Linked DNA regions of Mus musculus. The protein of the gene in region 1 purifies or fractionates together with the protein of each later gene. This does not show direct contact. Links are inferred from orthologs where the notes say so. Each region holds a gene or a part of one and is shown in the gene's direction. Other genes may lie near its edges.

The links.
Region 2: the proteins of Ubqln4 (region 1) and Gja1 purify together in Homo sapiens (affinity purification with western blotting; 3 studies listed by BioGRID). This does not show direct contact. The link is inferred for Mus musculus from reciprocal best matches to the Homo sapiens genes UBQLN4 and GJA1.

The regions. Positions count from the first base shown.
Region 1 is NC_000069.6:88,552,552-88,556,462, forward strand, and holds the start of Ubqln4 (ubiquilin-4), read left to right. Parts: upstream 1-1,164; 5' UTR 1,165-1,253; coding exon 1,254-1,361; intron 1,362-1,387; exon of another isoform or gene 1,388-1,868; intron 1,869-2,786; coding exon 2,787-2,938; intron 2,939-3,238; coding exon 3,239-3,441; intron 3,442-3,911. Other genes in the region: ragulator complex protein LAMTOR2, read right to left, coding at 245-312. UniProt on the Homo sapiens protein: Regulator of protein degradation that mediates the proteasomal targeting of misfolded, mislocalized or accumulated proteins.
Region 2 is NC_000076.6:56,387,090-56,391,000, forward strand, and holds the end of Gja1 (gap junction alpha-1 protein), read left to right. Parts: intron 1-444; 5' UTR 445-457; coding exon 458-1,606; 3' UTR 1,607-3,330; downstream 3,331-3,911. UniProt on the Homo sapiens protein: Gap junction protein that acts as a regulator of bladder capacity. A gap junction consists of a cluster of closely packed pairs of transmembrane channels, the connexons, through which materials of low MW diffuse from one cell to a neighboring cell.

The DNA.
Region 1 (3,911 bases):
GAAGAGTGAAAGGTCTGAGTTCCTATCCCAATTCCAGCTACTGGCGCTTTTAGGAAGCAAGAATCCAGGAACACGCTAATCAACTGTCCATTTCCCTTTCCGAGGAAGCCCTCAAGCAGGGTTTCCGAAGCTGCAGCTTGCAACATTAGCCACCTCCCGGCGTAGGGCTCTTCCCTACCCCTACTGCAGACAGCCGCGCGCCGCCCCATTCCAGCGCTCGCTGCTTGGGTTCTTGTTCACTCACAGGGTGCTCTGGACTCCTCCAGTGTTGGCTTGGCTTAGCACCTGCGTCAAAGCCTTGGGACGCAGCATGCCTGCGTCTCTTAACCCTGACCTGCACCAACACACCCCTACAGTCGCAGCCTCTTGCTCTCCCTCAGTCGCTTCCGGTGGCCCAGGAGCCCAGCTACGAGGCGCCTGGGAGTTGTAGTCACCGGGCCCATCTACTGAGGCTCTGGCCCAATTCCCGCCCCGCGCGAGGGCCTCTGGGAATCGTAGTTTCATGTGATCGCTCAAGGAATTCTGGGAACCATAGTTCAGCGTTCCAGTGGGACCATGTGGTTGTGGAGTTGGGGGGGGGGAGAGCGGGAGCGCAAGGACAGTGGCAACGGTGGAAATACTTTTAACATCTTCCACGCGAAGGACGCCTTCGTGCCTACTGGTCAATCGCAATCTAATAATAAATCTATCTGTTAGGCACATCCTTGACCATTTTTTAAAGCAATATTGTACGCTAGTCACAATTCTGTGGGGTCTTGCTCTTTTACTCCCAAGGCTCAGAGAAGCCACGTAGGCAAACTCCAGGTCTCTGAAACCGTCCTTAATGGCTCCCTCGGGGCGGTTCCCCGGAGGCCACGACTGCTCGAATCCGCAGAGGTCTTAAGGACGTCCTGAACCAGGAACGAACCCAGGCCTCTCAAGAAAACCAAGTGACCCCAGGGAACGGAGATAAGACGGCGACAACGAAAGTCCTTTGTCCGAACAGGAGGGAGCCGCAGGCGGCCCTGAATCTCCCGCCCTCCGCGCTGTCCGGCCCGGGCCAGCTGCGCACCCTGCTCGGGCCTGGGCCGCCCCAGCTGCAGTGCTCCCCCAGGCCGCCCGGGGCGCTGTGGCTGCGGCTGTCCGGAGTGGGCGGCGGAGCCTTGGGGAGGGGCGGGAGGGGGAGTTGGAGGCCCCGGAGTCGGGCCGGGCCGGGCGGGCCGGGAGGAGGAGGAGGAGGAGCCGGACGGGCTGGCGGGCGGCCGGGCGGCGGCATGGCGGAGCCGAGTGGGGCTGAGACGAGGCCCCAGATTCGGGTCACCGTCAAGACCCCCAAGGACAAGGAGGAGATCGTGATCTGCGATCAAGCCTCGGTCAAGGAGGTAGTATCTGGCTGGGAGGAGACAGGAGGGCGGGAGCAGCGCACCGAGGGGGTCAGAGCAGAGAGGGAGACCTCGGGGTCGGCCTGGCGCCGGGGACGGGCCCCCGGCCGGGGCGGAATCCAGGGGCATACAGGCGGGAGAAGCGGGTAGGGGGCGCCCTGCCAGGGCTAGTCCGGGGAGCGTGGCGCGGGTAGGGGCCGGTTTGGCCGCGCTACCCGGGCTGGGGGCGTGGTGGGGGAGCTTGAGGAAGGGACACCTTGCTTGCGGGCTCCATTTGGAGCCTAGGCTTGAGGAGAGTGTGCTCCAGGGTCACTGGTAGAGGTTCCAGGCGCTAAGGCACCGTGCGGCCCGAGCGAGCTGCGGCTATGCTCTCCCGGGAGTGTCGCGTGGTGGTGGTGCCCTCTCTCTCTCTCTCTCCCTCTCTCTCTCTCTCCACAGAGCCTCCTTGTCGCAAATCGAAACGGTTGTGTAGTTCAGTTTTCTGCTCTACAGGATTTGCTGAGCGCAGTAGGTGCTCAACAAAATAATATAGAATGAGTGAGGGAGTATTGCCTGTGTTCCCCACTGCTTGAAGCTGCTCCAGAATTGCACATAGGCGGGGCTTAGAATAGGCCATCTGGTTGGAAGAGAGGGATCTTTTGCTTAGCAAGTGCACTGTTTATAGTTAGAATATGTGTTGTGTTGTGTTGTGTTTTGGAGGAGCTGATAGAATCTAGAAAATTTAACTCGCCCCAGTGTAGCCGTTGGTACCACTGCTGCTCTCTCATTAGAGAATTTTAAGTCCCCTGGGAAAAGCTGAATTATAAAACAGCTCTTATTGAGAATGTGTCTGATGAAGACATTGATGTCCAGACCTGAGTTCCTATATCCCCGGATACATTACCTCTTCTCTGATCCTTATCTTTAAATTCCCAGCCCTGGGGAGGTAGAAGCAGGTGGATCTATCTGAGTTCGAGGTCTACATAGAAAGTTCCAGGACAGCAAGAGCTACATGCAGAGACCCTGTCTCTTAATTAATTAATTAATTAATTAAATTTAATTAATTTAATTAAGTAGAGATGGTAACTAACACACTAGATTCCTCAATAGATCTCAATAATACTCTAGATTATCTGTTATAGTGATGAGGAAGCTGGGACTGAAAAGCAGAGAGAAGGCTGAAGAGAGACAGCCTGAGCCCAAGGCTAGTTGAAGGATTTAGGATGGGGAGGGCTGCCCATGCCTCTGTGAGGTATCACTTTCAGAGAATTGGGTGGTGGGACAGAAGCTGCTGTTGTGGATAGCAGCAGGGGCTTTCCAGGGTTGGGATACTGTGTCATGGAACTAATTGAATGGATTCTTGTAGCTAGAGGGGCAGAACTGAGGGTCAAGTCTTGCAGCGGGGCGCAGTTGGCCTCTGCAGTGATCTCTGCCTCTTGACCACAGTTCAAGGAGGAGATCTCCCGGAGGTTTAAGGCTCAGCAGGATCAGCTGGTCCTGATCTTCGCAGGCAAGATCCTCAAGGATGGGGACACCCTGAGCCAGCACGGCATCAAGGATGGGCTCACAGTCCACCTAGTCATCAAAACCCCTCAGAAGTAAGTACAGACAGGAGCTGCCCTTGCTCCTGATTGTGACCTCACCTCCCATTCTTTCTCACCTGTTCAGCAGCCAGGCCTGGCACAGATGGATAAGGTCTTACCTCTGGGGGAGCCTGTCAGTACTCCCAGGTTGCCTTAGAGACTGTTGATAACTGATACCATCCCTCTCCCCAGCATCCTGCTAGCCTGGGGTAAGGGTGGAACAAGGCTGCTTAGGAGGTGGCTTGAGCTGTCAGTCCAAGGCCACCTTGTCACTTGTGCACACTCCAGCCAGGTTTCCCTACTCTTTGTCCTCAGGGCTCAAGATCCAGTGACTGCTGCTGCTTCTCCTCCATCCACTCCTGACTCTGCCTCTGCACCCTCCACCACGCCTGCCTCACCTGCCGCCGCCCCTGTCCAGCCCTGCAGCTCTGGCAATACAACTTCAGATGCTGGCAGTGGAGGGGGGCCCTCTCCAGTGGCTGCAGAGGGGCCCTCAAGTGCTACTGCATCGATCCTCTGTAAGCCTTTAGCGGGGGAGAGCATAATTTTGTATTGGCCAGGGGAGTGGGGTGCACAAAGATAAAGAAGAAGAATGGTCCCTGATCCCTAGTCCTAGTCCCATGACCGTAGTCACTCTTCCAGATGTTGGAACTTAAGCCAAGCTGGGGTGGGGAATGAATGATCGGTTTATGATGGTTTTTTTTTTTTTTTTTAAAGATTTATTTATTTATTATATGTAAGTACACTGTAGCTGTCTTCAGACACTCCAGAAGAGGGAGTCAGATCTCCTTACAGATGGTTGTGAGCCACCATGTGGTTGCTGGGATTTGAACTCTGGACCTTTGGAAGAGCAGTCGGGTGCTCGTACCCACTGAGCCATCTCACCAGCCCTTATGATGGTTTCCATGATTTCAGAGATGGACTCAAGTTCAGGAACAAAAGGAAAGATGGCGTTGGGGGAGGGGAGTCCTGGGTAAAGAGGGGAATG
Region 2 (3,911 bases), on another chromosome or scaffold:
GCTGAAGGTCCGTCACTCAATCCTTTCTTAGGTGCCTATACTTTATTTAATAATACATGTCAACGTTTTGCTTAGAGGCATACAGACCCTTGGACTCCCAAGAAAGAACTGGTCTTATTTATCAGACAACTAAAATAAGCAAAGGCACTTGGTAGGTAGAGCCTGTCAGGTCACATGGCAAGGTGGTGTCCAGAGCCTTAATACTAAATACATCTTCGGCAAGTTGGGCTCGCTCTTCTCCCTGTATCTGGGTGCTATTACTTCCGAGTCAACTTCATCTTTGGGAAATGCTGCCAGATTTGCCCTTGGATTCTGTTTTGGCTTGGGTTGAAACTGCCTTATTTTGACTGACCCCTGAAAAAAGAAACTATATATGTGAAACCATCAATTTACAGTCTACAATCACTGAGTTGTTTTCGTGGTTTTTGTTTTTGTTTTTCTTAGGAGGTGCCCAGACATGGGTGACTGGAGCGCCTTGGGGAAGCTGCTGGACAAGGTCCAAGCCTACTCCACGGCCGGAGGGAAGGTGTGGCTGTCGGTGCTCTTCATTTTCAGAATCCTGCTCCTGGGGACAGCGGTTGAGTCAGCTTGGGGTGATGAACAGTCTGCCTTTCGCTGTAACACTCAACAACCCGGTTGTGAAAATGTCTGCTATGACAAGTCCTTCCCCATCTCTCACGTGCGCTTCTGGGTCCTTCAGATCATATTCGTGTCTGTGCCCACACTCCTGTACTTGGCTCACGTGTTCTATGTGATGAGAAAGGAAGAGAAGCTGAACAAGAAAGAAGAGGAGCTCAAAGTGGCGCAGACCGACGGGGTCAACGTGGAGATGCACCTGAAGCAGATTGAAATCAAGAAGTTCAAGTATGGGATTGAAGAACACGGCAAGGTGAAGATGAGAGGTGGCCTGCTGAGAACCTACATCATCAGCATCCTCTTCAAGTCTGTCTTCGAGGTGGCCTTCCTGCTGATCCAGTGGTACATCTATGGGTTCAGCCTGAGTGCGGTCTACACCTGCAAGAGAGATCCCTGCCCCCACCAGGTGGACTGCTTCCTCTCACGTCCCACGGAGAAAACCATCTTCATCATCTTCATGCTGGTGGTGTCCTTGGTGTCTCTCGCTCTGAATATCATTGAGCTCTTCTATGTCTTCTTCAAGGGCGTTAAGGATCGCGTGAAGGGAAGAAGCGATCCTTACCACGCCACCACCGGCCCACTGAGCCCATCCAAAGACTGCGGATCTCCAAAATATGCTTACTTCAATGGCTGCTCCTCACCAACGGCCCCACTCTCACCTATGTCTCCTCCTGGGTACAAGCTGGTCACTGGTGACAGAAACAATTCCTCCTGCCGCAATTACAACAAGCAAGCCAGCGAGCAAAACTGGGCGAATTACAGCGCAGAGCAAAATCGAATGGGGCAGGCCGGAAGCACCATCTCCAACTCCCACGCCCAGCCGTTTGATTTCCCTGACGACAGCCAAAATGCCAAAAAAGTTGCTGCTGGACACGAACTCCAGCCCTTAGCTATCGTGGATCAGCGACCTTCCAGCAGAGCCAGCAGCCGCGCCAGCAGCAGACCTCGGCCTGATGACCTGGAGATTTAAACAGGCTTGAACATCAAGCTGCCAATCGATTGTGGAGGAGAAAAAAAAGGGTGCTTGCAGAACGTGCACCTGGGGTGTTCATTTCGTTCCCGTGGAGGTGGTACTCAACAACCTCAGTAATGAGGCGTAGAAAACAAAGACATTACAATATCTAGGTTCCTTGGGGGGTGTTTTGGGATAGCTAGGCGGCAAAAGTAGGGAAAGGGGAGGTATGTAACGGTATTTAATGTAGAAGATTCAAAGAGCTTAAATTCTAGTAAGAGTCTCATTGGATGAAACATAGATAGGGCTTTCTCTCTCTGCCCCCCAACTGAACCTTAAGAATGGTTCTGTATACATGAGTGAGTGGGTGATATATATTTTTTTTAATTTTTGTTTTACTGAGATTCTGCCATAGAGCTTTGAGCAGGAATCCAAGTCCTCAACATGGCATTTCCTTTATGAAAAGACAGGTTGTCCTACATCCCCGCTAAAAAACATTCCAGTGTTTAAAAACTTGGCAGTTTGCAGGCGAGCTTCCCTGGCCTGACCCTCTAGGTGTGGATGGACCTTATGCTACTATACACGATTTTCATTCTTGGTAGGTATCAATTCGAAGTTCAGACAAGGTTCAAAGAAAAAGATTGCCCATGTATTTGCATCTCAGTGGGTTCTTTTTCAAATCTGTCCCACCTTTGTGTCTTCCATATATTATCCTCAGCTGGTCCTCACCCTCACCAAATGATTTCTATCGACATTTTTAAAACAGTGAGAAAGTCTTTTTTTTTTTTTTTTTTGAGTTAGCATCAGGGAGGCAAGCCATGCTCAATATTTAACAATCGCTTCTGTCTATGTGTGGGTGTGCAAGTGTGTAAGCGTGTGTTTTGTCATTATTGGTACAAGCAGAGGCAGTATAAACTCACAGATTTGAATCGAATTCACACAGTGTTCAAATTTGAACCTTCCTCATGGATCTTTGTGGTGTGGGCCAACGTGGTGTTTACATTATAGAATTCCTGCCGTGCAAAAGTGTAAAGCACACACTTTTTCCCTAAAATATTTTTTCCACGTATCCTATTATGGATACTGGTTTTGTTAATTATGATTTTTTTTTCTTTTTTAGAATGTAGCAGTAATAGCCATTACTGAAATGAATGATTTCCTTTTTCTGAAATATAATCATTGATGCTTGAATGATAGAATTTTAGTACTGTAAACAGGCTTTAGTCATTAATGTGAGAGACTTAGAAGAGGGTTGCTTAGAGTGGACTATCAAGTGAGCCTAAAGGAACTTTGTAGTAACTGGTAATCTGGTAATTTTTGTCCTACTTAACTACACATTAACTCAGAACTTGTATTCTGAGTTTAACAGTCTTTTAGATTGACGAGCAACTTGGATGTTTGCACTAAGATTTTCTTTGAGATACTAGAGGGGGTGAAGGAGTTTTCAGCAGTGCACATGTAACTAATTTATTTGAACTGTAAGCTAAAGACACCTACCAGTTTCTTCAAGTGACTTAAAAAAACTCATCACAGATGATTGAAATGTCGAGTTATCATGTTTCCTCTTGCGCGCCAGCTACACAAGGAGTTTTTGGACAATGAGAAACTAATTTGTTTGACATTCCATGTTAAACTACTGTCATGTTCAGCTTCATTGCATGTAATGTAGACCTAGCCCATCCAATCAATGTGCTCGGGAAAGTGTTCTTTATTCAATAAAATTTTAATTTAGTATAATAAAGATAACCTGCATGTCTTGTGTGATTTAAAAAACAAAAAAAACAAGAAAACTTACCAAATTTATTCAAGATTACCAAAAGTAGATCCCATAATTACAATGTCTTGGGCTAATGAAATCCACTTTTATTTTATTTTCATCTTTTGCTTGCCGGTATCTCTGTGCAATGGTATGTTGCTGCTTGCAGTGGCCAGGAAAAAAAAAAAATTAGTGTCAAATCCCCTAGAGATAGTTGTGAACTGCCATGTGGGTGCTGGGAATCAAATCTGGCTCTTTGAAGAACAGTGTTTTGTTAGTTTGATTTTTAAGGACAAACACCATAAGCATCATTGATTTTGAAATATTGAGGTAATATTTTAACAGGAAATAAAGCATACAAATGTTTAATTGGGAGAACAGTTAAACTCCACACCAGGTCTCACACACTCATAGAATCGAACCTAGAATTTTTTGCCAGCCTCTACATTCTCTTGCCATGGCTTCCTCGATACATGGAGTTGTAGGCCCGAGGTAGTGATTACAGTATTGGGGAAGGTATCTGGGTTGTTGCAGGTGGAGCTAAGACCTCACATATAAGGTAGAGCG